Notamacropus eugenii: one gene and its partners. The protein of the gene in region 3 purifies or fractionates together with the protein of the main gene of each other region. This does not show direct contact. Links are inferred from orthologs where the notes say so. Each region holds a gene or a part of one and is shown on either strand. Other genes may lie near its edges. The genes, in order: PLXNB1, GAB1 and MET.

The links.
Region 1: the proteins of MET (region 3) and PLXNB1 purify together in Homo sapiens (co-immunoprecipitation; 3 studies listed by IntAct). This does not show direct contact. The link is inferred for Notamacropus eugenii from reciprocal best matches to the Homo sapiens genes MET and PLXNB1.
Region 2: the proteins of MET (region 3) and GAB1 purify together in Homo sapiens (affinity purification with western blotting; 3 studies listed by BioGRID and IntAct, with this or other methods). This does not show direct contact. The link is inferred for Notamacropus eugenii from reciprocal best matches to the Homo sapiens genes MET and GAB1.

The regions. Positions count from the first base shown.
Region 1 is NC_092872.1:14,566,224-14,575,934, reverse strand, and holds the start of PLXNB1 (plexin-B1), read right to left. Parts: upstream 4,393-9,711; 5' UTR 4,378-4,392; coding exon 4,106-4,377; intron 1-4,105. UniProt on the Homo sapiens protein: Receptor for SEMA4D. Plays a role in GABAergic synapse development. Mediates SEMA4A- and SEMA4D-dependent inhibitory synapse development. Plays a role in RHOA activation and subsequent changes of the actin cytoskeleton.
Region 2 is NC_092877.1:140,474,451-140,484,155, reverse strand, and holds the start of GAB1 (GRB2-associated-binding protein 1), read right to left. Parts: upstream 4,133-9,705; 5' UTR 3,874-4,132; coding exon 3,802-3,873; exon of another isoform or gene 3,723-3,801; intron 1-3,722. UniProt on the Homo sapiens protein: Adapter protein that plays a role in intracellular signaling cascades triggered by activated receptor-type kinases. Plays a role in FGFR1 signaling. Probably involved in signaling by the epidermal growth factor receptor (EGFR) and the insulin receptor (INSR).
Region 3 is NC_092874.1:136,376,530-136,387,311, forward strand, and holds the start of MET (hepatocyte growth factor receptor), read right to left. Parts: upstream 4,579-10,782; 5' UTR 3,669-4,578; intron 1-3,668. UniProt on the Homo sapiens protein: Receptor tyrosine kinase that transduces signals from the extracellular matrix into the cytoplasm by binding to hepatocyte growth factor/HGF ligand. Regulates many physiological processes including proliferation, scattering, morphogenesis and survival.

The DNA of each region.
Region 1 (9,711 bases), on a different chromosome or scaffold from region 3:
TAATCATTCATGGAGGACACATCTCTGTTTCTACTCCAGGGCACTCTGCACAGGGTTGCCTATATATTTTTATAGGGGTTCTTATTTACGACATGGACCCTTTGGGCAAACTGGTAGAACCTTTCTCAGAATAATGTTTTTAAACTCCCATAGAGGGAGTCTCAGTAAAGCTGTACCTAAGGTATTAGGGAACTGAGCTCTGAGGGGGGTTGCAGGGCTTGGGGAGCTAAGAAGGGAAGGAGTGGGGGGGATGAGGGAGATAATTAGGGGCCTGAGTAGGGGGTGGAGCACCTGAATCTTTTCAGTCTTCAGCTTCCCTCTGTTCTGTCTGGCCCCAACAGGCTGATCTCCTAAGTGACTCGGGGCTCTTCTGTATGCTGTTGGTGGCCTGGGGGGTCAGTCTATCTCAGATAACAAGAGTCCAAGAGACAAGCCAGCCAAGTCAGAGAGGTTTCTTTGGTGTCCTGGGGAGGCCTATTTAGAAAAGTTCTTCTGTATACTCAGACATCTCTTGTCTCTCATATGAGAAAAGGCAAGAGGGCACAGATCCTAAGACCCCCAGATCGACTACCAGTAGTAGGAACAATCAGGAGACAGTGATGACCTTGGCACTCAAGTCTGCTCCCCACTAACCAATCCTCCCTGCCCCCTGACCCAATCAAGTGAAAGAACAGCACTGCAGGGAATGGTCAGTACACAGAAGAGGCCAGAGAGGAGGGGCTCAGAGCTGAACCCTGAGCCTAGGCTCCACAAGGAAAGAGCTGCGAAAGAGGGGGTGGGGACCAAGCTGGGTGGGAATGGGGAGGCAGTAGGCCACGGCCCGGCCTGGGCACAGCTCCCAAAATAGCTCGGGGGTTTCCATTTTTAGTGTGGAGAGAACAGGGCAGCTCTGTGGGAGCGGGAACAACACTGCCTTTGTTTATCCGCCCCAGGCGGGTGGGGGAAAGGATGAAGGTGGGGGGGAGAATGAGTGGCATGGAAGAGAGGGTGTGGGGGTGAGAATTGAGAAAGGAGGATGGAGAGTAGGAGGGCTGGAAAAGGGTGAGTAGGGACTGGCTGAAACCTCTCTACCCCATACATCCCACTGTGGGAGAATAAGGGAATTTCCTGCTTCCCATGCCACTGACTTGGGTCATTTTCAGATCCAGACTGGAGAAAAGGCAAAGAAGGGATGTCTTCTCTCTCAGGATCCCACAGGCTCCAGAAACTACTTCAAGACACCACTGGACAGACAGAATCTAGAGATCTAAAGTTCCTAGTTTGAAAGGAAGAAATCTATGTCTGGATGTATTGCTTGCTTCTGACTTTCTTTTAAATCAAGGCATTAGATTCCAACCGCCTTCACTTCAATCTCGGAGGACAGCAGCCTTGGGAGAGACCTTGGCAGAGCCCCACCCCCCCCAAACCCCCAGACTGCAGGGTACCTATGGCACAGACCTGGTAACAGACAAGCTCAGAAGGTCCCTCAAGCTCAAGTGTACTTCTCCCTAACAAAAGACATAGATGGGGCTTTCCCTAAAGACTAGTTAATGGGGCTGAAACTGGGGAAGGGTATTTGGATGAACCTAAAGTCAGAGAATCCCCTCCCCCTCCAACTCAGCTGCTCTTCTCTCTAGCACCTTCTCCCACCCTGTAGTCTTGAATTCCAAGCTCTCTCTCTCCGACCCCCCTCTCCAAGTAGGAAGCAGATGAGAACTCCAAAAGGCTGATCAAACAGATATCACAGGCATCTGGAGCAGATAGGGAGTGTGTTTGTTGGAGGGAGTGGAGGCAGATGCCCATATAAACCATAATAATATAACACACAGCAGAAGATAATCACCCTGCATCCAGAAATGTTCTGAGGGTGCCGACTGCCATAGCTGCCCAGTTCAAGGAACAGACAGGAGCTTCCTCCAAGGACTCATGTCCTATCCCACAGTGGGAACTGAAAGGCCTGAACTGGGGGGATATGGGGCCAGAGGGCCAATGGAATCGGGAGGCAAAAGGGGTTCCTGAGCAGGGTAGGTCCAGAGCTGCTCCCATCATCTATATTCCTCCCTCCTTTCTTCTACTGACCCTGAAGAGCCAATCAGTTCTCTTTTCCCCTCTCAAGGGATTCCCAGGAGCTGTCTGCATGGATGGAGTGACTCTAGGGGAAGGGGGCTGGAGAGGCCAGAACTGCTCCTATTCTGTTCTCTATCATCAGCTTCCTCCCAGGACCCTATATACCTTTCCCCATTATGGACAAAAGCCAGAGTCAAGCAAGAAGAGTCATGCAGACAGAGAGGGAAAGACTGAAGGACAAGGAAAATAAAATGGAGAGGGTCAGGGAAGATTGAATGAAAATGAAAAGGCATTTATTAAGTGCTTAGTTTGTGCCAAGCATAGTAACAGAGGAGAAAGGGGGAAGGACAACACAGAGGTCAAGGGAAGGGACAGGGAGAAGGGTGAAGATCAACTGGAGAATCTGGGTGGCTTCAGAAACATCTTTACTAATTAGAGACCATGAACCAGAATGTGTTATTGAGATTTGTACACAAATGAGACAGTGCAAGTCCTTCATTCTCCCAAAACTTTCTTCAAAGCTTCTATTGCCTCCAAATGGGCCTCTGCACCCTACCGACCCCTTGCACCCTAACACTCAGAGCCTACCACATTCCAGTTGGGCCCACGAGTATACCATTCCTTCCCCCCAACATGTTAGCTAGAAAATCCCTCCTCCAACAATGTCAAAATTGGCACCAGATTATGCCACTCTAGGGCTCCCCACTTTTTCCAGGCCATCTCTCCATTTCATCCACCAGGGGGAGTACGATTTCTTCACCCACCAGTTAAGGAGATGCCCAAGAGCTACGGCCCCCAAATATACACCCCCTCCCCACTCCAGGTTTAGCCCTCCTATCCACTTCCAGGAGACAAGAGGTGAAAGGCTGAGATAGCGGTGCAGAGAGGCTTCCTCTTAGCAAGGGAACAACCCCTCCCCTTTCTTCAAAGGCCCAGACCCTGTCTTGATCCCTGCCCCTTCGGCCCCTCCCCCCACCTTGTACCCAATGAGGTGCCCACCACCTGGCTGGCTCCCTGGGTGCCATAATCAGGAGAAACCAGCTTTCACTGGAATGGCCGGGGAGACTGCTTCCTTCCCATCTCTGAGCTGGCCAGTTACTCATTAACCCCAAAATGTGAGCGGGTTACCCTTTGATTTGAGCATTTAGAGGGCTGAGGAGAGGGAGGTCTCAATTTAGATTATGTATGAGGCGAAAAGGGAGGGTCGTAATTCAGGATATGCCTTTTGGTGGTTTAGGTGACACAATCCAGTCTGACGGAAGACTGTCACTCTCCAGGGTGTGTGTACTGAAGGGGAGGGTGGTCACATTAAGGAAGCCCACATTAGAGGAGTGTCAAAATCCAAATCCACTCTATATGTACAGAAGGAGCGGTAGCGATTTAGGGTGTGTTCTGAGGGAGGGACGAGGGCCACAATTAAGGTGTGCATGGAAGAAGGGGGGGGGGGGGTCGCAATCCAGGGAGCGTTTGAATTTACTGGGATGGGAAAGGTAGAGTTACGACCCACTCTCCCAATCCTTCTTGGATCTAGGCAAGGTGCAGGAGCCCCGAACCTCTCCCACATATTCCACCTTCCGAGGTGTGGTGTACCTCCCGTCTTCCTCAGTACAGGCATCCCGCCCCCAGGGTCCAAGAAGGAAAGACCCCCTCTCTGGTCATCTGGTCCTGGCGGGGAGGGAAAGGCTGTTGGCTGGTGAGGATGGAGGTGGGGGAGAGGAGGGGCTGCCCAGGGGTGGAGGGAGGGGGCACTCAGCTCCAGTTCAGGGGGAGTCGATCCCGCCTCCCGCCTCTCCCAATCAAAACCACCCTGAAGTTTTCTTCCACCGGAGAAGTTCGGTCCAAAATGCCCACAATGAAATAGCCCCCTGCCCAGCCCCAGGCCCCAGATCAAGAGCTCTCCCTTCCAGGTGGCCGATCCACACAACAGAAAGCCCCAAGCGGTCCACGTAAGTGTTCCCCAAGCCATCCTTACGGATGCCGGCTCTCCACCTCCGGGGACTCGGGGAGTCTGGCCGGGGTGCTCGGATTCCTCGCCGCCCCCCGGGACGCACGGACTCACCACTCGGGCCCCGCTGCTGGGACAGGGAGGGAGGGAGGCGCTCCCACCGTTGCACCGCACACCGTCTCACCGCACACAGTTGCACCGCGCTCGAACCCTCTGCTGCGCGGGGCCGCGCCGAGCCGAGTGGCGCTGCGCGGCGCGGCGCTGAGCTGGGCTGAGCCGAGCCCCAGAGCGGCGCGGGCCTCCCCTACCCCCGCCCCCGGAGGTGGATCCGGCGAAGCCACAGCTGTTACCCGGAGACCGAGGGGCGGAAAACTGCGCCCGCCCATCCCCCACGGCCCGGCGCATTCACCTCCAGAAACAATGGAGACAAAGCCGCGTCCTCCCCCGGGCTCTGCGCCTTCCTTTCCTCCCTCTCTCCAGACCCCGGCTGCCCAGGAACAGAGACACCCCCACCCCCAGCCAGCCCGCAGGCCGAGAAGGGCTGCAGGATGAAGCAGGGAGGGCAGCACAGAGGGGCACCGCGTTTTCTCCACCAGAACCCTCACCTGCTTGTCCTTTGCCTTCCCCCTTCTCTTTCTACCCTTCCTTCCTCTCCACTTTCTCCTCCAGATTAGGAAGGATGGAAGGAGAGAGAGAGGAGAGAGAGAGAGAGAGAGAGAGAGAGAGAGAGAGAGAGAAAGAGAGAGAGAGAGAGAGAGAGAAAGGAAGGAAGGAAGGAAGGAAGGAAGGAAGGAAGGAAGGAAGGAAGGAAGGAAGGAAGGAAGGAAGGAAAGAAGGAAAAAAGAAAGAAATCCCTAAGAAAAGGAAGGAAAGAAAGAAAGGCATCCCTAAGGATTGCTCCCGTTCTTGGAGGACGACCCACAAGTGGACATATTAGTAAATACCAAGTAAGCTCGACTAGGGAGTTGGGAGTGGACAGAACACCTGAACTCTGACTTAAAGAAATCTTGGGGTCCTATAAGGTAGAAGTAAGGAAGGAATGTATTCCAGAAATTGAGGGGCGGACAGCCAGTGCAAACGCGGCAAAATGGTCAAGTGAAAAGGGAGGCTGTTTGTGGGGTCGGAAGACCGACAAAGTACGACTCTACTGTGTGACCTTGGACAAGCCATTTAACATCTCTTGAATGAAGAGGTGAAGTTGATCTCGAAAGACCCTTCCTGAGTCTAAATCTATGAACAGAGAAGAGAGATAGCATACCCAGTTCCCAGAACTTCAAGAAAACTCATTTTATTCACGTGGATGGGACCAAGGTGCAATATTTGGAAATGTAGGTGGAAGCCAAGTTAGTGGCTTTAAATGCCGGGCTGAGGAGTCTGCATTTTCTCCAAAAGCCAATAGAGACGCATTGAAGACTTTTGAATAGGGGATTGACATGGTCCGACCTGGGGCTGCCCTTCCTTCTCTACCATTTTCCCCTTCCACTGCCTTTCCCCTCTTCTCCCCTCCCTCCCAACTTCCTCATCCCCCATGAAGCTTCCCCACTCTCTCCTCCTACAATTAAACATTAAGCCCTGGGAAAGCATTGGACTAGGCTGTGGGAGAAAGAACACTTAGTTTAAATGTCACAGTCTCTGCATTCACAGTTCACTATACAATGGAGGATATGACACAAAGTCACACAAAGCCAAATAATGTAAAAGTCCATGAGAGAGTGCACATAGGAATATGTGAAATCTGTCTATGATAATACTAGCTGAGTTACTAGAGGGAAGTGGGACATTTTGAGTTGGAGAACAGCATTGTCCAATTTGACCGGAGCTCAGTAGACATAAAAGGTGAGAATTAGTGTGAGATGGAAAGGTGAAAGTGGTGCCAGATGTGAAAACCCTAAATGTCAAACCAAGGGCAATAAAAAGTAGCCAAAAATTTCTGAAGAAGTAATAAGACGATTTATTTATTAGAAAATGTAATCTGGCAGTAGTGTAAGGTTGGACTGGAAGGGGAAAGACCTGTTCAGCTATTGGAATAGCTTGGGGGGGTGGAGATAAGGAATTAGTAATGAGAGTTTGTGCTGTGGTAGAGTCATTTGGGACAGAAGGGTAAGGATTTGAGAGATGTTACTGAAGGGGAATCAATAGAACTTGATAAGCATTTGGATAGGGGAAGAGTCCAAGATAACCTTACATTTTCAAACATGGGACACAGGATGAACCATGTGGTATCAGCCGCAGAAATGATGAAGTCAGAGATTTAAAGGCTTAAGACAGTAAGTGGAACCTCCAAATTGCAGGTGTCATATGCCCCATAGGCAGCTGGAGATGTAGGTCTGGAGCTCAGAAGAATCAGTGCTGGAGATTTGAGGGCTGATCATAGAATCAGTCATGGCAACCATAGCAGTGAATGAGAATGCCAAGAGACAATGTGGAGAGGAGAGAAGAGAAGCCAGAATAAATTCTTGTGGTGGAATCACTTTAAGAGGATGGGAAATGAATGAAGAGACAGTGAACAAACAAACAAAAAGACCATTTAGGTCTTTTCCAGCCATAAATCTGTAATCCTTTGATTTCCATTTTCTTACCATCCCCACCACAAGGTTCTTGTCAACATCTAGAATTTTCTGGAGTTCTCTGTGAAGGCTTCATTCTTAGGGTTGGGGAGGAGGGGACAGAAGATGGACCAATGAGAGGAAGTAGTTTGGGGAGAGGACAGGGAGAGATCATAAGATAATAGTTATTGCTGGAAGAGACTTAAGTCATCTAGTTTTCAGTTGAGGAAACTGAGCCCTAGAAAGGTTATTTTCCCAAAGTACAGAGAGGATGATAAGTAGCAGAGCTAGCATTTGAAATCAGGTCCTCTGACTTCAATTCCTCATGCAGCCTTATGGGGAATGAGTAAGGGGGGATGAATGGGATAGTTGAGGTAGGGGCAGTAAAGGGGAAAGTGCAAAGTGCAAAGTCATTGATTAATGTTAGAAGGGCAGGGAGGACTTAGCTGCCAAGCGTGGCCTACATGTTGTCCAGGCAAGGGGAGCTTGAGAGGCGGGCCCCAGGAACATACTCTGCCCCTGTTTGGGCCCCTTCCCAGGCAAGAACAGGGATTTACCTTCAAAGCTGGCCTGCCCCACCCTTCCCCAACTCTCCCTGCTGAGTTGGCACCGCCCATGCTCCCTGAAGCCAACCCTTACCCCAGCTCTCTGAACTACTCAGTGGTGTCTTTTCTCTTAAGCCCCACCTACCAGGCAAAGCTGAGTAGGACCTCAGGTGTCAGGCAGCTGGGGGTCCTGGGCTGAGCCTACATCACAGTCCCTCCTCCTCTGCCTTTAGTTTGTACTGGCCCAATGAATTTCCGTGGGCCTGTCTGGCCAGAGGTGAGCAAAAGACTCAAAGCCTACCTTCAGGAAATCAAAAGGCACTGCTATTCTCCAGCCTGGCAAAGAGGGAAAGCATGTGTGGGCATCAGTCATTCTAACACCTCCACGTTTCACTGCACTATGATGCTCTAGAGGTGAAAGATAAGGACCTGAGTCTTTGTCCCTTAGTCTAAGCAATGCCTGTCTAGCATCCCTACCATGTCAGGGTCCATTCTAGTCCCCTTCAGAGACTGACAGATTGATCAACCACATTGGCTGTTCCCAAGCTCCCAGTTGTCAGTCAGTTAATAAACATTTATTAAGCTCCTGTTGTGTACTAGGCACTAATTTCTGGAATACAAGCTTTTGATTCTCAGGATTCTGTCATTCAGGTTTACAACTATCTCAACTCTTCACATTTTCTTTTCCTGTCCCATACAATGTTACCAAATCTTGTTTCTTCCTCCACGTCTCTAGAATTCCCTTCCTTCTCTCTATACCCTAGCTCAAGCCTTCATCACTGTTTGCTTCTTAATTGGTTTCCCTGCCTTCATCCTCTCCCCTCTCTCCAATTCTGCACACAACTGCCAAACTGATAATCATTAAGTATTTCTTAAATGCCCTCTACATGCCAGACAGTATTCGAGGCACAAGGGTACAACTATCTTGTTTGGAGAGTTGAAATGAGGCAGCAGTGTATTCTAGGCATATGCAAAAAGCATAAAGGCTTGCTGACAAAGAATGTCAGCCAGTTTGGCTGGAAGGTAGCATGGGCGGGGGTAATGTATTATACTTAATAGAATATATTCACATCCTTGCATGATGCTAGACATCCTCTATTGAGTTAAGAAGAAATCCTGTTCCACACTCACCCTAGCTTCATTTCCCCCAATTAAGGTAAGCCAATCTGTGTTTGTCATCCATGACCCAGGGCCCAAGGACTCTGATCTCACATGGAGGGGACCTGACACCATGAGGGTCTTTGTCTCTCTCCAGCTCATTGCTTCTACCTGGAGTTCTCCAGGAAAATCTTACACCGTAATCACGGCATGGCTAATGTCTAGGTTTCCCTAAAAGTAGGTAGCAAAGTCCTCGAGTTCTGTAGAGATACTTAGTGTATAATATGGATATTGGGTATGGGATGGCCTTTGTTTCTCACACCACAGAAAATGTATAAGCTAGGAACAAATACAAAAATATAAAGCAGTCCCACACTCCCACCATCACTTCCAAAGAAACTTTGGAAAGCTGTTCCCATTCCCTGTCTATCCACTCTGACCCGTTACCACTCCTCTCTTCAAGAAGCTTCAATGGGTCCCCATTGCCTTGAGGGTAAAATACAAACTCTTCTATTGAGCCTTTAAAGCCTTTCTTTCACCGTCGGCCTCCCATCTATCTTTCTAGACTAATGTGACGTTTCTCCTTCTCAGCCAAACTGGGTGAACTCTAAAGTGCTTTCCAGATCTAAATCTATGATCCTATGATGCTCAGGAAGACATTCCATTGAACCTCTGTGCATTTGAAAAGTCTATCTCCACTCCGGGAAGCCTTTCCCAACCCTTTTTAATTCTAGTGCCTTCCCTCTCTAAATTATCTCCTATTTATGCTGTAAATAGCGTTTGTACGGATTTGCTGCCTTGTAGTCTCCCCCACTAGATTACGAGCTCCATGAATATTGGGACTGGCTTTTGCATCTTGGCGCTTAATAAATGTGTATTGACTTATTGACTGGAATGTTCTCTGAACTTTACCTCTGCCTTGTAGATTTCCTAGCTACTTTCAGAGTTCAGCTCTATCCTCATGTTCTCTATCACCCTCTGTTAAAAGTTCTCCCCCATGCCCTACCAGGAATTACTTTGTGTACAATTCATGTTTACTTCTATGAGTACCTGCCATCTCCCCCCAATGAGACATAAGCTGCTTGAGGACAGGGACTTTCTCATTTTTGTCATTGGGTCACTAGTGCCCAGTATTATGATATATGATTTCATCCGTATAGGAAGCTCTTGGTAAAGAACTTCCATCAATGGAGACAGGTTCCTTTGCAGCAATTTCCCTGGGGCACTAAAAGGCAAGGTGACTTGCTCAGTGTTACAGCCATAATATGGTGATAGAAGCAGGATATGAAATCAGGTCTTCCAGACTCTGAGGCCAGCTCTTTATCACAATGCTTCTCACTGAGCATATCGTGTAAGAGAGTTATTGAATTTAACTAAAGTTCTAATCAACAGTGTCACAGAATTACAGAATTTGAGAGTTGGAAAGGGCCTTAGTGGCCATGTCTCTAGAGGCAGCTGGACAGTGCAGGGGATAGAGCACTGGGCCTAGTGTCAGAAAGGCCTGAATTCAAATCCATTCTCAGACACTATG
Region 2 (9,705 bases), on a different chromosome or scaffold from region 3:
CGATTGTTATGATCACTTATTGGATCGAAGCTGTTCCTCTCCTATTTCCATGTACGTAAAGTCTTTCAGAATTTGCCCTGGCACATTCAAACAATACAGAGGCGACATAATATGATGTTATTAGCAAACCGTCTGGCAGAAGGTCTTGTTTGACAAATTACTAGCCAAGTAACACCAATTCAACCCCCTTCCCTCTCTAACAAACATAGTATGATTAAAAAAACAAGACAACTCCTATCTGCAAGGACATAATAAACTAATAAGACTACAAGACATACACAGTATATGAGAGGAACAAAGGAAAAAACCATTCTTCACTCTCCCTCACTCCACATTTCTAATCAATTGCTAAGTCTCGTGGATTTGACCCCACATCATTTATTGCTGCTAACTCCTTCTCTCCACTCACCTTGCCACCACCCTAGTTCAAATGCTCACCCTGTCTTACCTAGGCTATTACAAATAGGCTCCTAATTAGGCTCTCTTCTTCAAGTCTCCCCCCACTCTAGAATCCATTCTCTACCTTTCCCCTAGTGGCATTCCTAAAGCACAGGTCTAATCACACCACTCCCCACCTCAAATTTCAGAGGCTACCTATTACCTCTAAATCAAATACAAACTTCTCTGTTCTGCATTTAAAGCCCATCATCCCATTCTCCCTTCTAGGTTTATCCCCCTCTAGACTGTGAGCTTTGACCTAGACCTAGAGAACAGAAAGCATCTTTCTTGCCTTTGTATCCCAAGTACTTAGCACAATACCCAGCATACTGATAAACGGTGCTTAATAAATGTTTTTTCAATGACAACTCCTTCACAACTTCTACAGTCCAGAGAAACTGGCCTTCCTGTTGCTAGTCAAACAGATTGCCCCATTTCCCATCTCTGTCTTTGCATGGAATGCTGTCCCTCCTCCTGGTCTCTTCCTCTTGGAATGCCAGCAATGCAATCAGGAAGACCAGTTCAGGTTCGGATTCTAATGCATATTAGCCTAATGAGGATGGTCAGGTCACTTCTCTCTCACTAACACTAACACTATAAATTGCAGAACAAGAAAGTTTCCATACTAGAAGTTCCCTTTACTGATGAAATCACAGGTCCAGGCAAAAACAAAACAAAATCTGTTCTATTTCATGAGATTATTTTCAGCACATTTGAATGAATTAATGCAAAGGCCTGCAAATGCAAGGCTGCAAGTAAGGCTTCCAATTCTTCCCCTGGTTCAAAATATATTAGACTCCTAACCCCCTAGAGACATGAACCATCTATTCTCTACTATGCATTCTGGCCTCAAGGGAGCCTGGCTAGTATAATGCTCACTTCAAGATGGCCACACATGTTAACCAGACAAGAAAAGCAGTGATTCAAACTCCTATAGACTGTAACTGTTTCTGTGAATCCTCTTCTTTCATCCAAACTGCTTAAGAAGTCAGGCCATAACTTCACTTGATGATATGGGCTGTTGTTTACGTTGCCTTCTTATCTCTGGAAGGTAGTACCTAAGTCACTCTCCCGGCCTCAATTTCCCCATCTGTTAAAAGGGAGTGGTTAGGGCCTGGACCTAGCAAACTCCCTCTGTCAATTCAGGTCAACAACTTTTCTGCAATTTGCATTCTTAGAGAGCTCTCTAGGGCAGAGGTATCAAACAGGAGGCATGTGGTCGTGTAGTATTTGCAAACCAGATTACAAAGTAATTGGAAAATATTTAACAAAATAAATAAAAATACGATACAAAGTTATTTTCAGCCTTCTTGGAACTCTGTGCGACCCCATTTGGGGTTTTCTTGGCAGAGATACTGAAATGGTTTGCCCTTTCCTTCTGTGGCTCATTTTACAGGTGAGGAAACTGAGGCAAACAGGGTGAAGAAACTTACCCAGGGTCACACAGCAAGTAAGTGTCTAAAGCCACATTTGAACTCAGGTCTTCCTGACTTGAGGCCAGGCAACTAGCTGCCCATAATATGCTATAGATAACGTGAATGTTATTTCTAAGTCAATATGTTACATTTTTATGTTTGATACCGAGAGGCCAAAAGAGAGGTGGCAAGTGCCCAGAGTCACAAGTCTGTATGTATCTGAGGCGGGGCTGCAACCAAGATCTCCCTGGCTCCAAGGAGCTCTCATTTTCACTATTCCAAGACTACCTGATGACAGGCTCAATTAAAGATCTCTAGGGTCCCTTTCAGCTCTAAACTGTATAAATGCCTACAAAAATGACCTTTCAACTCTCTAAGTTTTAGATGAAAGCAAAATTCTTCCATAGGACAATCAGACAAAAATGAAGCCAAGGAAAAGGCAAAGACTATGCTGATTGGGTGGAATGTGTGGCACCCACTCTTTTTTATGCAGTAATTCTTATTGATAAATACAATTCTGGAAGGAACTCGATGAGGAGACCTTGAAGACCTGGAGTAAACAGTAACGTTAGCTAAAATCCTATCCTTTAATCATAAAAAAAGACAAACAACTACCAGGAGACACAGGTGGCCAACAGAAAAAGTTCTGGTCTCTGAGGACCAGTAAAAAACGTGTGGGAACATTTTTATAAGAAAAACATGTGGCTAAGACAAAAGTGTCATCCCTTTCCTTTTCAGGAAGCAGTGGTAAAGACATCAAGCAGTCTTAAAAAAAAAAAAAAAGCTCCAGGAAGCAGGATCCTGGAACTCCCAGAGTAGGACAAAAATCTCCACTTAAGTCAAGCTGGTTCTTTCAAGGAATTGTTTTTCCAACAGCTCAGTGAAGAAACAGCTCCTTTGTATCAATTACATGGATACTGTTTTTAATCGACTCTGGTGCCCGGGGAAAGAAGCCCTTCAAGATCTCGCTTCTGACATCAGCAGTCCCTCTCCTACGTGACTTGACAGCGCACCGGAGGCGTCCTAAACACCAGCCCTTTCCCGGGTGAGGAAATTAATCAATCGGTCTCTCAGCAAACCCCCATCGCTTTCCTGGCACAAACAAAAACAAAACCCTAAACTCCAACGTCACCTCGATCCTGCATTTCTGTTCAGCAAACCAAGGGTCCCTTGGACGTCTAAAATGCAATTCCTTGATCCTATCTCCCTAAGATTCCCCGTCCTCCCTCCTTCCTCCCCTCCAAGAGTAAGGAGAGGTGTGGCGGGGGGGCGGGAAGGGGGGGGTAGAATCCCGAAGAAAAGCAGAAAAGGGGAGACGGAAACAGAGAAAAAGCAAGGGGAGGGAGGGCGTAGGGGAGAATCCACAGTGGATTCCAAATTCTTTTTGCTGTAAAGGGGTGGAGGGGGGCGGGGGGCGTCATCATATTAATAATATGCGTGTCTGCCAGACTCTAAGACTAAGATGCATATTCTAAAGAAGGGTTTCTCTTCTCGGATCCAAGGAAAAGGGATAATAAAAAACACTGACAGCCTTTTTTTTTCTTTCTTTTTTTTTCTCCCAGAGAAGTCCCAGGTTTGGGTCTTACGGCTGTGGGTCCTAGGGCTTTAGTCCGTAAATGACGTAGTTTTCAAGAGGGGAGGGAGGAAAGTTGCTAGAGAAAGTCTCCCGTTCGAGTGCGTGAGTGTGCACTTGAGTGTGTGTGTAATTTGTGAATGTGTGTGTGTAATTTGTGAATGTGTGTGTGCGAGGTGTCTGGCCAGAGAAGGGGGAGGGGGCCCCGGAGGAGGGGACCCTGGGGCCCGCTCCCGCACGCCCCTGCCCCGGGGGGCCGCCCCTGCCCCGGGGGGGGGGGGGGCCGGGAGGCAGGCGGGGAGGGAGAGGCGGCTTCGGGGCGGCCCGGCCGAGGTGCGAAGCCCGCTCCAGGTGGAGCGCCCGCGCGGTACTTACGTAACGCTTCAACTTCTTCTCCGGGGGGGATTTTCGGAGCCATCCCGAGCAAACCACTTCGCCGCCGCTCATGGTGAGCGAGTATCTCCGGGCTCCGCCGCCGAGTCCTGCGAGGTGGGGTGCGGGCGGCCGCAGCGCGGGCGGGCCGGCCCCTCGCACGCCCTACGGCCGCTCCGGCCTCCGCGGACGACCCGGGAGGAAGGGCAGGCGGGCGGGCGCAGGGAGGGCGCCGGGGCGGGCTCCTCGGCGGGGCGGGCTCCCCAGCGGTGCGGGCTCCCCGGCGATGTGGACAGGAGCGGCTCGGGAATGAGCGCACTCCCCCTCCCGGCTCGGCTCTCTTTCTCTCGTTCCCTCCCTCCCTCCCCGCCTTCCCCGCCCCCCGCCCCTGTCTGCTCCCGGCTCACACAGACATGAAAGGAGGCTCCGCCGGAGCCCGCCCCTCCCGCGCCTCGGCCGCCGCCGCCGCCCAGCAGCCCAGCCCGTCCCGCTGCCCGAGCGCGGGGGACGCGCGGGGCGCCCGAACCGGAGCCCGACCTGGAGCTCGCTCCCCACCGGCCCGCAGCCCCGCTCTGGGCGGCCCCGCTCTGGGCAGCCCCCGGGTGTGCCTGACGTCTCCCGGAGACTCTGCCCGGAGCCGGAGCCCGAGCCCCTGGCCTCCCGGCTTGCTCCACCCCCTGCTGGAGAGTGCACTGCACACACTCACACACACTCACAGTGCGCACACACACAGTGCATTCACACTGCACACACTCACACACACTCACGGTGCGCACACACACTCACAGTGCGCACACACTCACACTGCACACACACACACACACACACACACACACACAGACGTGCACTAAAGCACCCTCCTGCTCGGGTTCCCTGTCTCCGCAGCCCCCTAGCCTACTCCTCCTTCCCAGGCCTTCGGGGAGGGCGCGCAGGGGCTTTGGAAACTGGGGAGCCACCAAAGTTCTACCGTTCGAACTTGAGGCCCCCCCAAGGCCCTGGGGCGGGGATTGGCTGGGGAGGGGGTTGGGGGAGGAATCCTCCCTTCTCTCGCCTCCAGTGGAAGGGAGAAGAGTGAGGAGGGGGCCCGCCAGCCCCGCGCAGAGCTGCGGCGAGACTCTCCTCCCTCCGCTCCCCTCCTGGGAGTGGATTCCACAGCCCTAGCCCTCCTTTTTCCTCCTCTTCCCCCGCCCCTCCACTTTCTCTCCAAGATCCAGCTTCAGCCTAGGAGTTGGTGACAGGTTGGACACACATTCCCCCTCCCCAGCCCACCCCTCCCCCTGCTGAGCCTTCCTCCCACCCCCTGCCTTTTCCCACTCCCTCTTCCTCTCTTTCCTCCTCCCCTTTCCCAAGTTTGGCCCCTGGTGGCTGTTCCTCTCCCTGTCCGGACTGAGAGGCCAAGACTTTCGCTTGAAACTCAGCCAAAGCCCTTTCAGCTCAACAACAAGGGCAGAGCAGAGAGACTGGAAGGAGGAGAGGCACTCTGGGATCTGTAGTCCGGGAATGGCGAGATGTCTGTTTCCTTTCCTCCCCGCTTCCCTGATGGCAGAAGGAGACTTCTAGAGAGCCCCTTTTTTGCCTTGAAAGTTGGAGGCCGGGACCCAACCAGGCAGGCTCACTGAGAAAGAACGCTGATAAGAGGAGAGGAGGAGGGGTTGGGGGAGGGAACACGGCTGAAATAAGAAATCTCAGTTTTTGCCCTCTGGACTGTATGTTTAACCAAGTCTTTTTTTTTTAATGTGGTTGAAAGGAAGTTTTGGAATTTTCTCTGTGGAAGAATGTGCAGAACGGCCCAGAGAAGGTTATCCGAACTGTTGGAGGCTGGAGTTGCTTCTAAGTCCCTGCCCTTGGGTGGAGGGGGGAGGGATAGGATAGAAAGAATGAGACTTGCAACCAGAAGAAATAAGATTCCTAGTCTGTGACCATGGTGGGAAATTTAAAAAAGAAAAAAGAAGTTTTTTGGAGGGAAAGAGCAAGCTAATTTAAATTTAACCAAAATTAAATTGAAGAAAAATGAACTGTTGATTTACTGAGCAGAATCATAAAATTTTAGAGGTGAGAGAGACTTCAGTCCAACAGTCTACAGCAACGATTGCATTATTACATTATGTTTTTGGGTACAGCAGAGAGATGGAAGCTTTGGAATCAGGACAGACCTGTAGTACAAATCTTGCCTCTGACAGTAGCCATGTGAGCCAGTTTCCTCAGCTGTAAAAGGAAAGTAGCATCTCCCTTAGAAGGTTGTGGTAAGGATCAAATGAGATCATGCATGTAAAGTTCTATGCCAACCTGAAAGTTCTCATTAAAGGTCAGCTATTATCATTTCAGTGACATTTTATGATCATTCACCTCTGTGATCAATTTCTGCTACTTCTCTTTGCTTGTGCTGGCTGTGAAACAACTCCTAAGTTTTTGAAAGAACGAACTGTACCGAATGTTTATGGTGTGGTGCTAAAGTCCATTTCATAATAATAAAGTGTTTTGTTTTTCCTGGTGTTCATACTCATAAGCCTGGCTTTTAAAGACTTTGAAGATTCCGGCTCACATAATATGCAGTTTTTTTCCTCTGTTTATTTTTGTGGGTCTTAAAATGCAAAGCATTTTTAAAAATTAAAGTTGTAGATTTGTTCCACCAAGAAATATTTATTAAGCATGTACCATGTGCCAGGTACTGTGCTGGATGCTAGGAATACAAATGTGAGAATGCCCTTGCCCTCCAAGACCTTAAATTCTGAGAGAATTCACAGATAAGCAAAAACAGTGTAGAGGCTGAATCTGTGGTTTCATTGCAATAGGGAATCTATCAATGCAGGTAACTTCTCTGCAGTTTATAGAAAGTTGCCTAGATCATGACTTGCCCGCTTGTTAAATGACTTCTGGAAACATAACCACTGTTCAGAGTCACAGAGTCAGTATGTATCAGAGATAGGATTTAAATACGGGTATTCCTGGCTTTGTTTGCCATAATCTACTGGAGAAGGAAATGGCAAGCCAAAAAAAATCTAGTGGACGTTATGGTGCAGGGGGTCTGGAAGAGTCAGACACAACTGGACAACACCAGTAACAATTCCTGACTCTGAGGTCAGCCAGGTCTCCCTACTTTCATATATAAAGTGTGTATGTGTATGTAAGTATGTATATATATGTTTGTGTATGCTTAGATACTCTGTGTATGTGTGTGTGTGTGTGTGTGTGTGTGTGTGTGTGTGTGTGTGTGTGTGTGTAGTTCAGTCATTTCAGTTGTATCTTACTCTTTGTGGCCTCATTTGAGGTTTTATTGGCAAAGATACTGGAGTGGTTTCCATATGTGTGTGTGTTTGTGTGTATATACATACATGTGAGGTAACAGTCATTCATTGAATAGACCTGTTTAAGAAGTAGCCAGGGCATGGGCCCTTTAATGAGGCAAAGAAAAAGAAAGACATCAGACTGGGTGGGAAACAGCAACAGTTAGTATTGGGCCTTTAGGTAGGGGCCCATTGTTGTCAGAGGTTCAGAGTGCAGTAGGTTTAAGGTTTTGGGAAAGGAAAGAAAGGAAAGGAGACAAGAGGAGAGGAGAGGAAAGGAAAGGCATCCTGATATCCTGATGAATATCATATCATCTGGTCACTTGATTCAAGTGACACTGAAGAAGTGAGGCTGGTGACCTTGCACAGCCCTCCCTCACTCAAAAAAAAAGTCAAGTGCAGGTCTTATCATCATTTCTTTGATGGCATGGTCTTCTTCAGCAACGAAGGACAAACATAAGAACATACATGTACACATACATATATATTTATATACTAAATAGGAAGTGATGATATGGGAGGACAGTAGCTTGAACCAACTGGGGTGATCAGAGAAGGGCTGTTGAAGGTGGCCCTCTTAGAAATAAAAGTGTCATTATCATAGATCATACATTTCAGAGAACATCTTCTTAAATATGTACTCTGTGCAAGACACTACTAAGAACTGGGTATGAAAGATGAAAAACAAGAATTTTACGACTGAATAGAGGAAATTGAAACCCGTAGGATATATAGGGATATAGGATATAGTGACTGAATCCAAACTTCATAGAACAAATCCCCTTAATAAAGGAATTTGTTCTGTAAAACTTGGACTCGGTCAAAAGACTACACCCAAGGACCTAAAAGGCCACATGTGACCTAGAGGTTGAAGATTCCCTACCCCTGGATTAAACAGTTTGTCCAAGATCACACAGTTATTGACAGAATTAGAAGTCTAGAATTCCCATCTTCTGACCTTTTTACTGATCCCCCAAAATAAATATTCTTCACTTAGACTCTCTGGGCTTGTTTCTTCATCTACAGAATAAGGACATTGGTAACGAGTACCTTTGAGATTTTGGACAAACTACTTCATTTGCCTAATTGGACATCACATCCTCTCTGACTCTCCGTTTCCTCATCTGTTAAATGAAAGGTTGGACCAGATGACCTCTAAGGACCCTTCCATCTGTAAATCCTATGATCTGGCAACACTGAGATTCCATACTGGTAAGCCAAATGATTTTTAAATCATGTGTAAAGATTCTTACTAGAAATCACCACGTCTAAAATTATGCAAACATTTTCTGTGTTGCTCGGTCCTTGTCCACGTACAGCGTTTAGTATTTTTGCACCTCAAACATTGGTAACTAGTGGTTAGGGCAAGGTATCTGCCTAGACTTAGAAAAAATGGGTGGAGAGTCTGGGCAGGGACCATCACTGTGTAGGGAGGGAGATTAACCACACCCACTGTATAAAAGCAATTTAAGGAATTTTTAAAAATAGAGTGCTCTGCTGTACTATGAAATGTTGATGCCCTAATATTTTCTTGTTCCCAAATAAAATAATCTTATTCCAGTCTATACAATCATTACATCTAAAGATTTATCTGAGAGGCAGGTAGATGGTTGTGGTAGATAGAGAGCACAGGCCTTAGAGGGAGGAAGAGAACTGAGTTTGAATCCTCAGCTAACCACTCTTTGTAGTTTTCTCATCTGTAAAATGGAAATATCAAAGTATCTAATACTTCCCAGGGTTATTATAAGAATCAAATAAGAGAATATATAGGTAGATATTTATGTGTGTAAATATATCTATTTCTAGATATGATGTATCTATATTTATTTTTAAAATTTCACTTTACCTTCTTTCTCTGTCTTCTCAACAAACCCCCATAGATCTACATAGATCAAATTTTAAACTACGTTGTCCCTGACTCCATAGATAAGTGAAGCATCTCATGAAATGACAGTCAAAATTTGTCCTCAAACTACCAGCCTTTTATCAATGGATAAGGATAAGGATAAGGATAGCTTTGCAAACTTTAATGTTTTATATAAATACTCGTTTTATTATGGAATTCACCTCCCTTTTTTAGTTCCCTTATTGTGAACATTCAATTTTGTATTTACTTATCTGTGAACAGGCCATCTCACCCTTCCCTCCCCTCCCCCTCCCACCCCAAGGAAACTACTCCTCCAGGGTAGGGACAGTTTTGGTTCTACATCCTTATCTTCAAGGATAGTGAATTTAAAATAGTAGATAATTTTAAAATATTTGCTGAATTAATCTTGGGATTAATTTGGAATGGGCAATAGTTAATTTCACATAGTTAATAGCAATATGTTGAATTAATCTTGCATAGAATATATCAAATTCACATGCACTTTTTAAGAGTTGCCTTTCTAGAGATTGAAAGACAAGGTCATTGAACACAAAACTATTATAGTATATTCAGTTTAATAGACATTACCATAACAAAATATGGAGGAGACCCCCTCCTTTATAATAGGGTTACACAGGTCAACCAATTTCACAGCAAGTCATTCTTACTCTTCTATTTGACCAGTTCCCATAGTTAAGTTTATCCTCCTCAGTCCTAGGTAATCCAGGGTTATGTTTCTACATTTCCATCTTAATA
Region 3 (10,782 bases):
AGTTCCAACTCTATTATCCTGTATTAGGTACTGTGAGTTCCCTATATTGGTGAAATCACAGGTCAAGTACCTATCTCCATTATGTCTCTATATTTGGCAATATGTCATAGTAGAGAGAGAGCTGGTCTCACAACCAAGGACATCTGGGTTCAGATCCCACCTCTGATTGGTACTAGATGTCTGACCTTGGAGAAGTCACTTAGTGTCTTAGTTCTCTGGGAAGTGCTCTGTCTGTAAATTGCAGAGAAGGTGCCAACTTGTTCTGGTAGAGAATTTTTCCTCATACAGGAATTCTCTGTATCACTGAAATCACAGATCCAGTTCCTAACCCTATCTTTTTATGTGTCATATGATTTAATTACATTTTTAAAATATCCCATCCCTCTTTTTTTCTTGCACTTAGGATTACTCTAAATGTTTGCCTACACTGAGCATTCATAGACAAGGTTTTTCTCATTTTTGTAATTTGCGATTGTTCCCAAGGCAATTTACAATTGTTCCCAAGCCATTTTATTTTTATATTACAGTTATTTGTATATGTATCATATCCTTTTACTAGCCAGGTCATATCCTCCTACTGGTCTGTAAGCCCCCTGAGGGCAGGTATTGTGTCTGTCTTATCTATATTTTCTATCCCTTCTAGTGTCTCTCACTGCATTGGTATATTTGTAGAACTGGAATTTGAAATCTACAGTGTGTTATTTACCATTGTACTAGATTAAAAGATAACTAAGGATAAGAACTTTATCTTTTAGATCCCCTCCCCCTGCCAGTCTAGCATGCTATCTGGCACACGCTGTGCTCAACAAATGTTTGCTAAATAAAACTGTGCAAGAGTGTGGCTGGCTAGGGGTCCAGATGCATGCAATCCACTCTGCCACAGATTGGGGTTAACTAGAGAAGAAAGTGGAAGTCAAAGCATTCCTGCCTAAAGTGACATTAGTTAATAGTAACCTTTATTATTCATTTGCTGCTATTATTACCTTCCTAAAGCAGCTGATGACACTCTGCCCTGTCACAGAGAAAGCCACTGAAAACGTGGCTAATTCACTAAGGTACAAAGTTCCTTGCCTACGGATTCCTAGATTTACTTACTTCCCCTTTAAAAAGAAACAACTGGAAGCCTAGAAAAAGCACGTCCGAAAATGCACTCTGTCATATGAAGGCAGTGCTGCAAAGGGAAAAAAATGAAGAAGATTCTGGAAGAGACTAGTTAGTTCTGATGCATGAAGGGATAGGCAGTGCCCTCCAAACCTGAGGTCAACAGAAGAAACTGGAAGAAAAAATAAGACTGTTGGACTCAGAATCTCTGACAAACCAGAGCGTCTGACATGAAGATGTGTAGAGAGATGGGTGATAAATAAATAGTGCTAAATCAAAATAATGAAGCTAGAATAAACAATATCAAACAAGCTTACTCTTTTCAGTCTATGTGACTACTACTAGGTTTCAGTCAGGCTGCAAAGGCCACCCTCGAGCCAATACTCTCCTTCTTAAAGGAACCACTCTTGAATTACTCAGTTTTGCTTTGAAAGAAAAAATGAGATTGGAGAAAATAATACTGAGTATGATATTTAGTTTTTCTACCAAAAATATTGCCATTTTAAAATAGATTTCACCTGCAACTAACAGAGTAATTTCTGATCCTAGGCTTTCTTGAGTAAAAGTAGGTATAGGATTATATATCAATAAATATAATAGAAGAAATGGTAGACATTAAGAAAAGAACAGAATAGCCCCTTTCAATTCTTTCCCCTTTCATGCCTTCGCAAAGTGGCATTTTTTCTTCTGGTGAATACATAGTCCTGTAAACATTAGCTATGAACATTTATTCTGACTTGGTCTACTTGATTCAGACCCTTTCGATCACTTAGATAAACCCACCCATGTTTGCTGAAGGCATGCACATCTAACACAGATTAGATGTACCCTATGATGCTGCTTAAAGAAACAAAACAAGTCCTCCCAAAAGTAGGTTTTCTATGGAACATACATGTAGTAGACTCCAATTGTCAGAAGTAAAAGAAATTTAGGTTAACAACAACTCTGTTGCATTTTAAAGTTTTGAACAGAATATTATCCTAAACACCTGTATGTTTTATAAAAGATTAGACACATTTTGAGTACTGTGAAAAGTTCTAACGAATGGTATAAAGGATCTTCCTTGAATTGTCATCACACAATTCAAAAAGCATAGCTCATAAAAACACTGCAAAGTAATTAAGAATAAAAACAAAATATGAATACAAATGCTCTTCAGTTCTCTACTAGATTTGACTATGGAAGTTTCTGTACTTAGATAAAATTCAATAAGCTTTGAGATAAAAAGGGAAAGGCTATATATCTGTAAATAATCCAGGCACCACTTACACTGTTTACATAAGAGCACAATTCATGTTCCAGTAGCACAGAAAAACATAATGTACATCATTTTTTAGATAATCATGCTGCAGAAAAAAATTTATTAGTTAGCCTAAACAGTTTTGCTGTAAAGGAAAATAATGTTTTATTGAATCCATTTGCATGGCATATGTGTCTGGATGATAGAAACTAAAAAGTAAGCCTTCAATGCAATGTTTAAAATGTGATCATTTCTTAAAACTGGGGAGAGTAATTTAGAGTTCCATATATTCCTTGCAATGCCAGTTTTTACTATCACCTCATATTCATTGCCTATCATATCTAGGCAATTAATGGATCTTGATTATTTTGCCTAAGAGTTGATAGTATTTCATTTTGCCAAAGTGCTTCTTCAAACATAAAACTGTGGGAAAAAAGGTAAGCTACACCAGCATAACTCTTCCTGCACCATCATGGGAACAGTTTCCAATTGTCAAATTAGTCAGTGGATTTTTTTTTTAACCTAAAAGGTCTGATGTATGAAATCATCCTTGATATAGATTTCTGTGCTGTAGAAGTGCTCAGTGGAATGACTTTTATTTATAAAATGCACAAAGTACTTGTCAATTATTGAAACAGTAATCATCTCTCTACCAATACCAGCAACAGTTGCCTGAATGCTAGCTATAAGCAGTTTCTCCTTTATATTCTAAACAATGACATAAGGTATGATTGGAGACTGAGGAATTATTAATTGGCACAAGTGTGGTCTGCTGTAAAGAAATGGAAAATTGGGACCCACACAGAAAGGTGTACACATGCACCTGCCCCTTCCAAGATTATCAAATCATAGTTTCGATTAAGTAAGGAGTCAGCTTTGCCCAGATCTTCCCAGCATCGCCTGGGGTCAGAGTGACTGCATCCCTTTGTACAGGCTGAGTCAGATCACCAACTGAAACTTATCTATAGCGGTGGTATACAGACAAACATACACACACACACACACACACACACACACACACACACACTTCACAGCCTCCCTCCCTACTCCTAGGCACAAGATCTACTCTGAGTCATCCAGGTAATTATCCAGGGTGTCATCACACACACACCTCCCCACCCCCCATGGTAAAAGAACAGTTTTTGCTTTCACCTTCATTCTGACCATACAACTTTAGCTTTTAACAACGAAAAACTCTTCTCCCTTCCCCTCCACCCTTCTCTAGCGATCCCTCTCCTTACCCAATTCACCCACCACTCCTGTCTCACAAACAAAGAGAAGGGGCTAGGGCGGGGGTGTATTTTAGAAGAGAGGTTCAAGTCTTTACCTGGAGGTGCCAGGGTCCGCACAGAGAAGCAGCTCAGGGGGTAAAAGACCACCCGCAGGCGTTCGCCCTGTCCCCTCCCCCCTTGCTTTCGCAGCTGTTCAGCTGTCGTCCCGCATCTGGATTCCTCAGTCAAGCTGGTCTCCGCTGCATCTGGACACAAAGGCGCTCGGAGCGGTGCGGAGGGGAGGGGGGTACGGCGGGAGAGGAGGTGAGCGGCCCTCCCGGGTCACCTGGCAGCCCTGGCACAGAACAAGCCAGCAAGCGCTCCTCCCCTCTTAGGTGCCTGGTGTCCGCTGCGCTGTGGAAGCTCCCGAAGGCAAATCGTTGGTGCTAGGGCTCCCTCCGCCCCTTTCCACATGCGGTCCTGACCTGCCCGTGACTCACCCCGGCATCGGGTTCCGCGTGTGCGAGTGTGCGGCTGTGTGAGTGTGAGTGAGGGAGTGTGTGTGTGTGTGTGTGTCTGTGTGTGTGTGTGTGTGTGTCTGTGTGTGTGTATGTTCCAGAGGGGCGGGGAGGTGCACTGTCCAACACTTCTTCTGCACGTGCCCCTTTTAGTTCTCTCCTTTGGGACCCAAAGCGCTGCAGAGGTGGGCACTGGTGCTGTCCAGAAGGGCAAATCTAGCCCCGGACGCCGCTCATCTCCTGGCTACTTTGGCCGATCTCTTTTCCTTTTTCCCAGTAACCTTCATGGAAAAGAGAAACTTTGTAGATAAAGGAGTTTTCTCGCTTCCCCTTTCTCTCTCCTCCTCTGTTTCTCTCTCTCTCTTTCCTTCTCTTTCTCCTTTCCCCACCTCGGTCGGCTTGGAGTTAGCACAGCTGGTAATAAGCAAGGTTGAGTCTCCCCCTCCTGGTATGCTTGTTGAGATTGCTGACAGAAGATTCTCTCTCTCTCTCTCTCTCTCTCTCTCTCTCTCTCTCTCTCTCTCTCTCTCTCTCTCTCTCTCTCTCTCTCTCTCTCTCTCTCTCTCTCTCTCGTCTGTCTCTGTCTCTCTCTCCTCCTCCTCCTCCTCTTCCTCCTCTCATTCCCCCCTTCTCTGGCTTCTTAGTGTCTACACACACACACACACACACACACACACACACACACACACACACTCACTCTCACTCACTCACTACCCTAGGAATAAGCTAAACAAGGCTTATCTCTGTAGTTTGTTTCCAACTTTTCCCTTTGCAGTCCAACACTGACCTATGGGAGGGGATGGGGGTAGGGAAAGATTTGGGCACTACAGAAACAAGGAATTTATTGTCCAGGGGGTGGTGGATAGTCAAGTTGTTGCAACGGTTACATTATGCAACGCTTAGCCCCCACTGTAATAACTCTGATTTCAAGAAGGAACAACAACTGCTGAAGTACTGAGCCCAGAGGAGACTCCAATTTCTTTTACTTGCTTTCTCAGCAAGAAAACAGGGTGATTAAATAACTAGGAAAATACCAATGAATCAAAAATATGAAATGAAATTCTTGGCCACTGAAATCTTCCCATTTTTAAAGTGTGAATGTAAAGGTTACTGTTTTCCACTCATTGTGCAGCTGTATCTTCAGTTTGCATGCTTGATAAGAAGTATGCAGAAGTGGAAGTGCATTGGATGTGGAACCAGATGACAATTCCAATCCTGCCTGTCATTTAGTACCTTGCAAATCAATTATCCTCTTTGGACCTCATTTTCCTTGTCTGTAAAATATGTGGTTTGGAACTGCCTACTCTTTCAGCTCTAAAGCTATGTATGTATAGTTTCCAAATAATGTTATATTAATACATAAAGCAGGACCACCATTTGTCCTTCTCTAGAGATTCTGTCACTCATTTGGTGAATAAGGAATAAATTAGGCCATAAGATTAATGATTGAGATTTGTTTGCATCCATCTGTGTTGAATAGTGGAAATCTTGTTGGATTTGAAGTCAGAGGGCCTAGTTTCAGTGCCCAGCTCTGAGAGACACCAATGTGACCTCACTGGACAAGTCACAGTGTGAATTCTCTAAACCTCCATTTGCTCATCTGCCAAGTGAGAGGACTGGACTAAATTACTTCCTGGGTTCTTTCCACCTCTAAATTTGTGATACTTTGGTTTAGATTTAAATTCTAGGTCTCCTGCCCTGACCTGCAGGGCCAGTATGAGTGGGGGGATCGAGGAGAACGCCTACCTGAAGGGGATGGGTGAAAAGAGGAGTGAGACCAAAGGGGTGGTAAGCAAGGTCTGATTTTATTATCAGGGTTGCAAACTTATATAGAGAAAAGACAAAGAGATTCCAAGCAAATTCCGTGGTGGGCCAGCTCTATCTTAGGACATCGTACTTTGGCTATCTGTGTTTACATAACATCTACTGCTTCACCAGGTCCCGCATTGGTATGTTTGCATAGCCTCAGGCAGTCCCTTCTCTTATCTCTCCACGGGATCGTGGGGTGCGGTTTTTCTTCTCAGGCGGGACGAAAGCAAGCAGGTTAGAGGAGGTACAGGTGGGGGGCCTCAGTCCCCGACATGTCCCCCTTTTGACTAAAATTAAAACATGCGGGCGGACTGAAATTAAAATATGCGGGCGGGTGAGAGGCCTGTCTTAGGCTATGAGGCTGGTTTCCATATTCAGAGCGCTTTTTCGGCAGATGACCCTGTCTTAGGCTAAGCAAGGGGATCTACGTGGCCGAACAGCCACGGCCTTGCTCTACTCCCGTCATAGGGAACAACTGCAGCCGCGCCTATGATCCTGATATATGGGGCCTCAATATTCCCGTCATGGGCACTCTCACAGCTGCCGCTCCGTGTTTATCCCCTAAAGGCCTTCCACCACCGCATGCAACGGGACTCTGACTGCACAAGCTTGGAGAACTGAAGTCCGTCCTCCTCGTTGTCTGCAGGGTTCTCCAGAAGTGCCAGGCGATGATAATGGATATTGATAGGGCTTTTAAGAGAAGCCTCAATCTGCGTTTTAATGAAAGAGGTTAGTCTACTAAAAGCCCAGGGCCCAAAAGAAAGAAGTAGGAGGAGACCAATCAAGGGTCCAAGGAGAGGGAGGAGATATGGGAGGACTCCATTCAAGCCACTCCAGAGGGGATTTTCGAAAAGTTCTTTGCGTCATCTCCTGAAAAACAGGAAAAGAAAAACAGATGTGTCTCAGGGAGGTGTAGTCCCCTGGACGGTATTGTAAGCATCTGGCTTGTCCATCAACTTGATCAGCCTTTCAGGCAACCATCTAGCATTTTGGCACTTTGAATCATAAATACAAGCATGGCCTTTGCCCCAGATTAACACAGGATCAGGGCCCTGCCATTTGCCAAGAAGGGGATCTTTCCATTTTGCCTGAGCGTAGGTTTGGGCCGTAGAGGAATGCCAAAGGCGGTCTGCTGCACTCTTTGCCGCAGCGTCAAGGGTGAGAAAATTTAAAACAAAAAGGGCGTGATTGAGCAACGTTTTGGCATTGCCAGCTCTGGGATAAAGAACTTCCCCCCCTGACTGTAATTTCAGGACCATGTTTTTCAATGTTTGATGGGCCCTTTCCACAATTCCTTGCCCCTGAGGATTATAGGGTATGCCAGTTACATGCTTAATATGTAGTTGTGTACAAAAGGATCTGAAAGAAGAGCTAGTGTAGCCGGGGCCATTATCTGTCTTAAGAATTTTGGGCTGCGGGAGGACTGCCAAGGCACTAATGAGGTGATTAATGACATGCTTGGTGGCCTCTCCAGGTTGCAAGGTGGCAAAGATAAAACCACTGAAGGTATCAATGGACACATGAATATATTTAAGCCGACCAAAAGGGAGGTAATGAGTGACATCCATTTGCCAAAGCTCCCCGGGAATGAGACCTCGGGGATTGATGCCAGTATGAGGTTCAGGGAGAAGAGTCAGGCAGCCAGGGCACTGTTTCACGATCTGTCTGGCTTGTTCCCGGGTGATAGGGAACTTGAGACGAAGCGTATGGGCATTAAGGTGATGCAGCTTATGGGCTTGCGTGGCAGCAGCAACAGGAGAGGTAGACAGCGCAAGTAAAATGCGACGAGTTGCCTGATCAACCTGATCATTCCCTTCAGAAAGGGGACCGGGGAGGTCGGAGTGGGCACGAATATGTCCAATGAAAAAGGGGTGCTTGCGGGAGAGGATTAGAAGCTGAAGAGTGGCAAAAAGAGGAGACGCATTAGTGGAGGGACGAATATACGGGACAGTTTCCAATAGAGGGACCGAATGTGCAATGTAGGAGCTATCAGTATAAATATTGAGAGGACCCGGAACAGATTCAAAAACCTTGATGACCGCTGCAAGTTCCACCAGCTGCGCAGAGATGAAGGGTGTGTCAAAAGAGGTGGCCTTTCCATTAACACTGAAGGCTGCCTTCCCTGTGGCGGATCCATCAGTGAACGCCAAATGGGCGCCTCTGATGGGCTCCGCCTTGGTAATCCTTGGGAAGACAACAGGTGTTTTCTGAAAGAACTGGACAAGCTTGTCTGAGGGATAATGATTGTCTATAATCCCTGGGTAGGAAATGCAGTTAACTGCCCAATCGTCATCATTCTGAAGCAGCCATTGAATCTGTGAAGCGGTGTAGGGGCAGACAATATGATCTGGTTCCCGACCAAAAAGCCGAAGGGCTGCCTCTCGCCCTAGGCGCAGGAGGCCAGCCGTTAAATGCGGGTAGGAGGGGAGGATCTTTGTAGGTGTGGCTGGCATATGAATCCAAAACAACGGATGCTCCTGCCACAATAATCCAGTGGGGGAAAAAGCGGTAGAAAAAATTAAGAGCCAAAGAGGTTTTAGAGGAGCGTAATACCCAATATGTTGATCATGAATAGCTTGCTCAATTAAGGCAAGGGCCTTACGGGCCTCCGGCGTGAGAGAACGGGGTGAATTTGGGTCGGAGTCTCCTTTTAGAATATCAAACAAGGGTCTCAATTCCCCCGTAGTGAGCTTAAGATAAGGCCTAAGCCAATTCAATTCTCCCAGAAGCTTTTGGAAATCATTAAGGGAACAAAGGTGACTTACTCGCAAGCGAACCTTCTGGGAGAGAATGCGATTAGTTAAAAGTTCAAACCCCAAGAAGAGCTGCGGGGGGTAGGTTTGTATTTTATCGGGGGAAATTTTAAGGCCCCGATTTTCCAATGCCCTAATGAGCTCCTGTGATACCTGGGTCAATTCCTCATCATCTGAACCTGCAAGGAGGATATCATCCATATAATGGATGATATAAAGCTTGGGATACTGCAAGCGAAAAGGGTCAATTGTTTGTGCTACATATTTTTGGCACAGCGTAGGGCTATTAGCCATGCCTTGTGGCAAGACTTTCCACTGAAAACGCGGGGAAGGGCCCACACAATTGGTAATAGGAACACTAAAAGCGAAGCGCTGGCAATCGGAGGGGTGGAGGGGAATGGAAAAGAAGCAATCCTTAAGGTCAATTGTAATCTTAGAGAAACCTTGTGGTATGGCTACAGGAGAGGGGAGCCCAGGTTGAAGGGCCCCCATAGGAACCATAGTTTTATTGACGGCCCGCAAATCATGTAAGAGCCGCCAGTTACCTGACCTTTTCTGGATAACAAAAATGGGTGTGTTCCACGGGGATGTGGACGGTTCTATGTGCCCTGCAGCTAATTGCTCCTGCACTAAAGCGAACGCTGCTTCCAGCTTTATCTTGGGTAAGGGCCACTGGTCTACCCAGACGGGTAGGTCATTTTTCCACGAGATCCTATCTGCCTGGAGTGCAGGAGGACCCGTGGCCCTCACGAAAAATGGTTCTGATTATCTGGGCCTTCAAAGCCAAGGCCTGCTCGCCCTTTCCTCCCTTCAGCAACAATTGGGGATGGTTGTCCTTGCCCTCTTTTGCCTAGCCTTTTCCCTGGGAGAAATCCCTGGGAGACCATCTGACGGGTTACAACTGTATTTGGACTGCACATAATTATCCCCTGCTGAGAAAGAATATCCCTTCCCCATAAGTTGACAGGTAGGCCGGGGACCACAAAAGGCCGGACAGTCCCTTTATTTCCCTCCTTGTCTTGCCAGGGCAACCATTGGGAACTCTGTAGAGTATAATGGGACTGGCCTATGCCCTGTAAGTGCGTCATGGATGGTTGAAGGGGCCAAGAAGGCGGCCAGCTATCTTTTGAAATAACAGTTGAGTCAGCTCCGGAATCTAATATTCCTTCAAAAGATCTGCCTTGAATGGTAAGCATAAGCATGGGGCGGTCCTGGGAAATGGCCTGAACCCAATAGATGTCTGAGGACCCGGGCTTGGAGTGGCCTCTAACGGTGGTGAGGGCAGGGTATGGGGTTTGTAGGGGGAGCGGGAGAGCCTGTGCAAGGCGTTGCCCCTGATAGACAGTGAGGGGTCCCTGTAGGGTTGAAGCAAGTATCTGGATTTCCCCCATATAATCACCGTCAACAATGGAGGGGTGGATTAGAAGGCCATTAATAGTAGTGGAAGCACGACCAAGAATAAAAAAATAAAAATTGGGGGGCGGGGGGCCAAAGATGCCTGTAGAAATTATATGCACCCCACCTTCAGGGGTCAATATTGTGGTGGAGGCGGCACACAGGTCCACCCCTGCGCTTCCTGAAGTGGCTCTGTAGAGTTGGGTGTGGGCGGGCTGGTCCCCGAGGCCCGCGGGACGGGGATCGGCTGGGGGGCCCGGGGCTGGCCCCTCCGGCCGTTTCCCTGCAGGGGGTGGCCATTGACATCTGTCGCGGAGCGACAAGTGTTCGCCCAGTGCTTCCCTTTCCTGCATCTGGGGCAGAGGGTGGAAGGTTGAGAACCCCTATTTTGGGTTGGAGGAGGGGGGGTATCTGGCGAGCTGGGGCACTGCCGGGCAAAGTGACCGGGTTGCCCACAGCGGAAACACTCCTTCTGGGAGTCCCCCGGCTGGAGAGCCGCCCCGACAGCTAAATGTACAGCCTGGGATATTTTCGTAGTAAAAGGATCTATGTCTCTGCAGAGGCGGATCATCTCCTCTAGGGTTTTATCCCTCCATTTCCCGCGCAAGGCAGAGCGACAAGCAGTATTGGAGTTCTCATATGCCAGACGCCTCACAAGCTGATCCTTAGAGGCCTCCTGACCGAGGGTCCGCTCGGTGGCCTCCAGGAGCCTGCTAACGTATTCAGAAAAGTCCTCCTGAGTCCCTTGTATTATT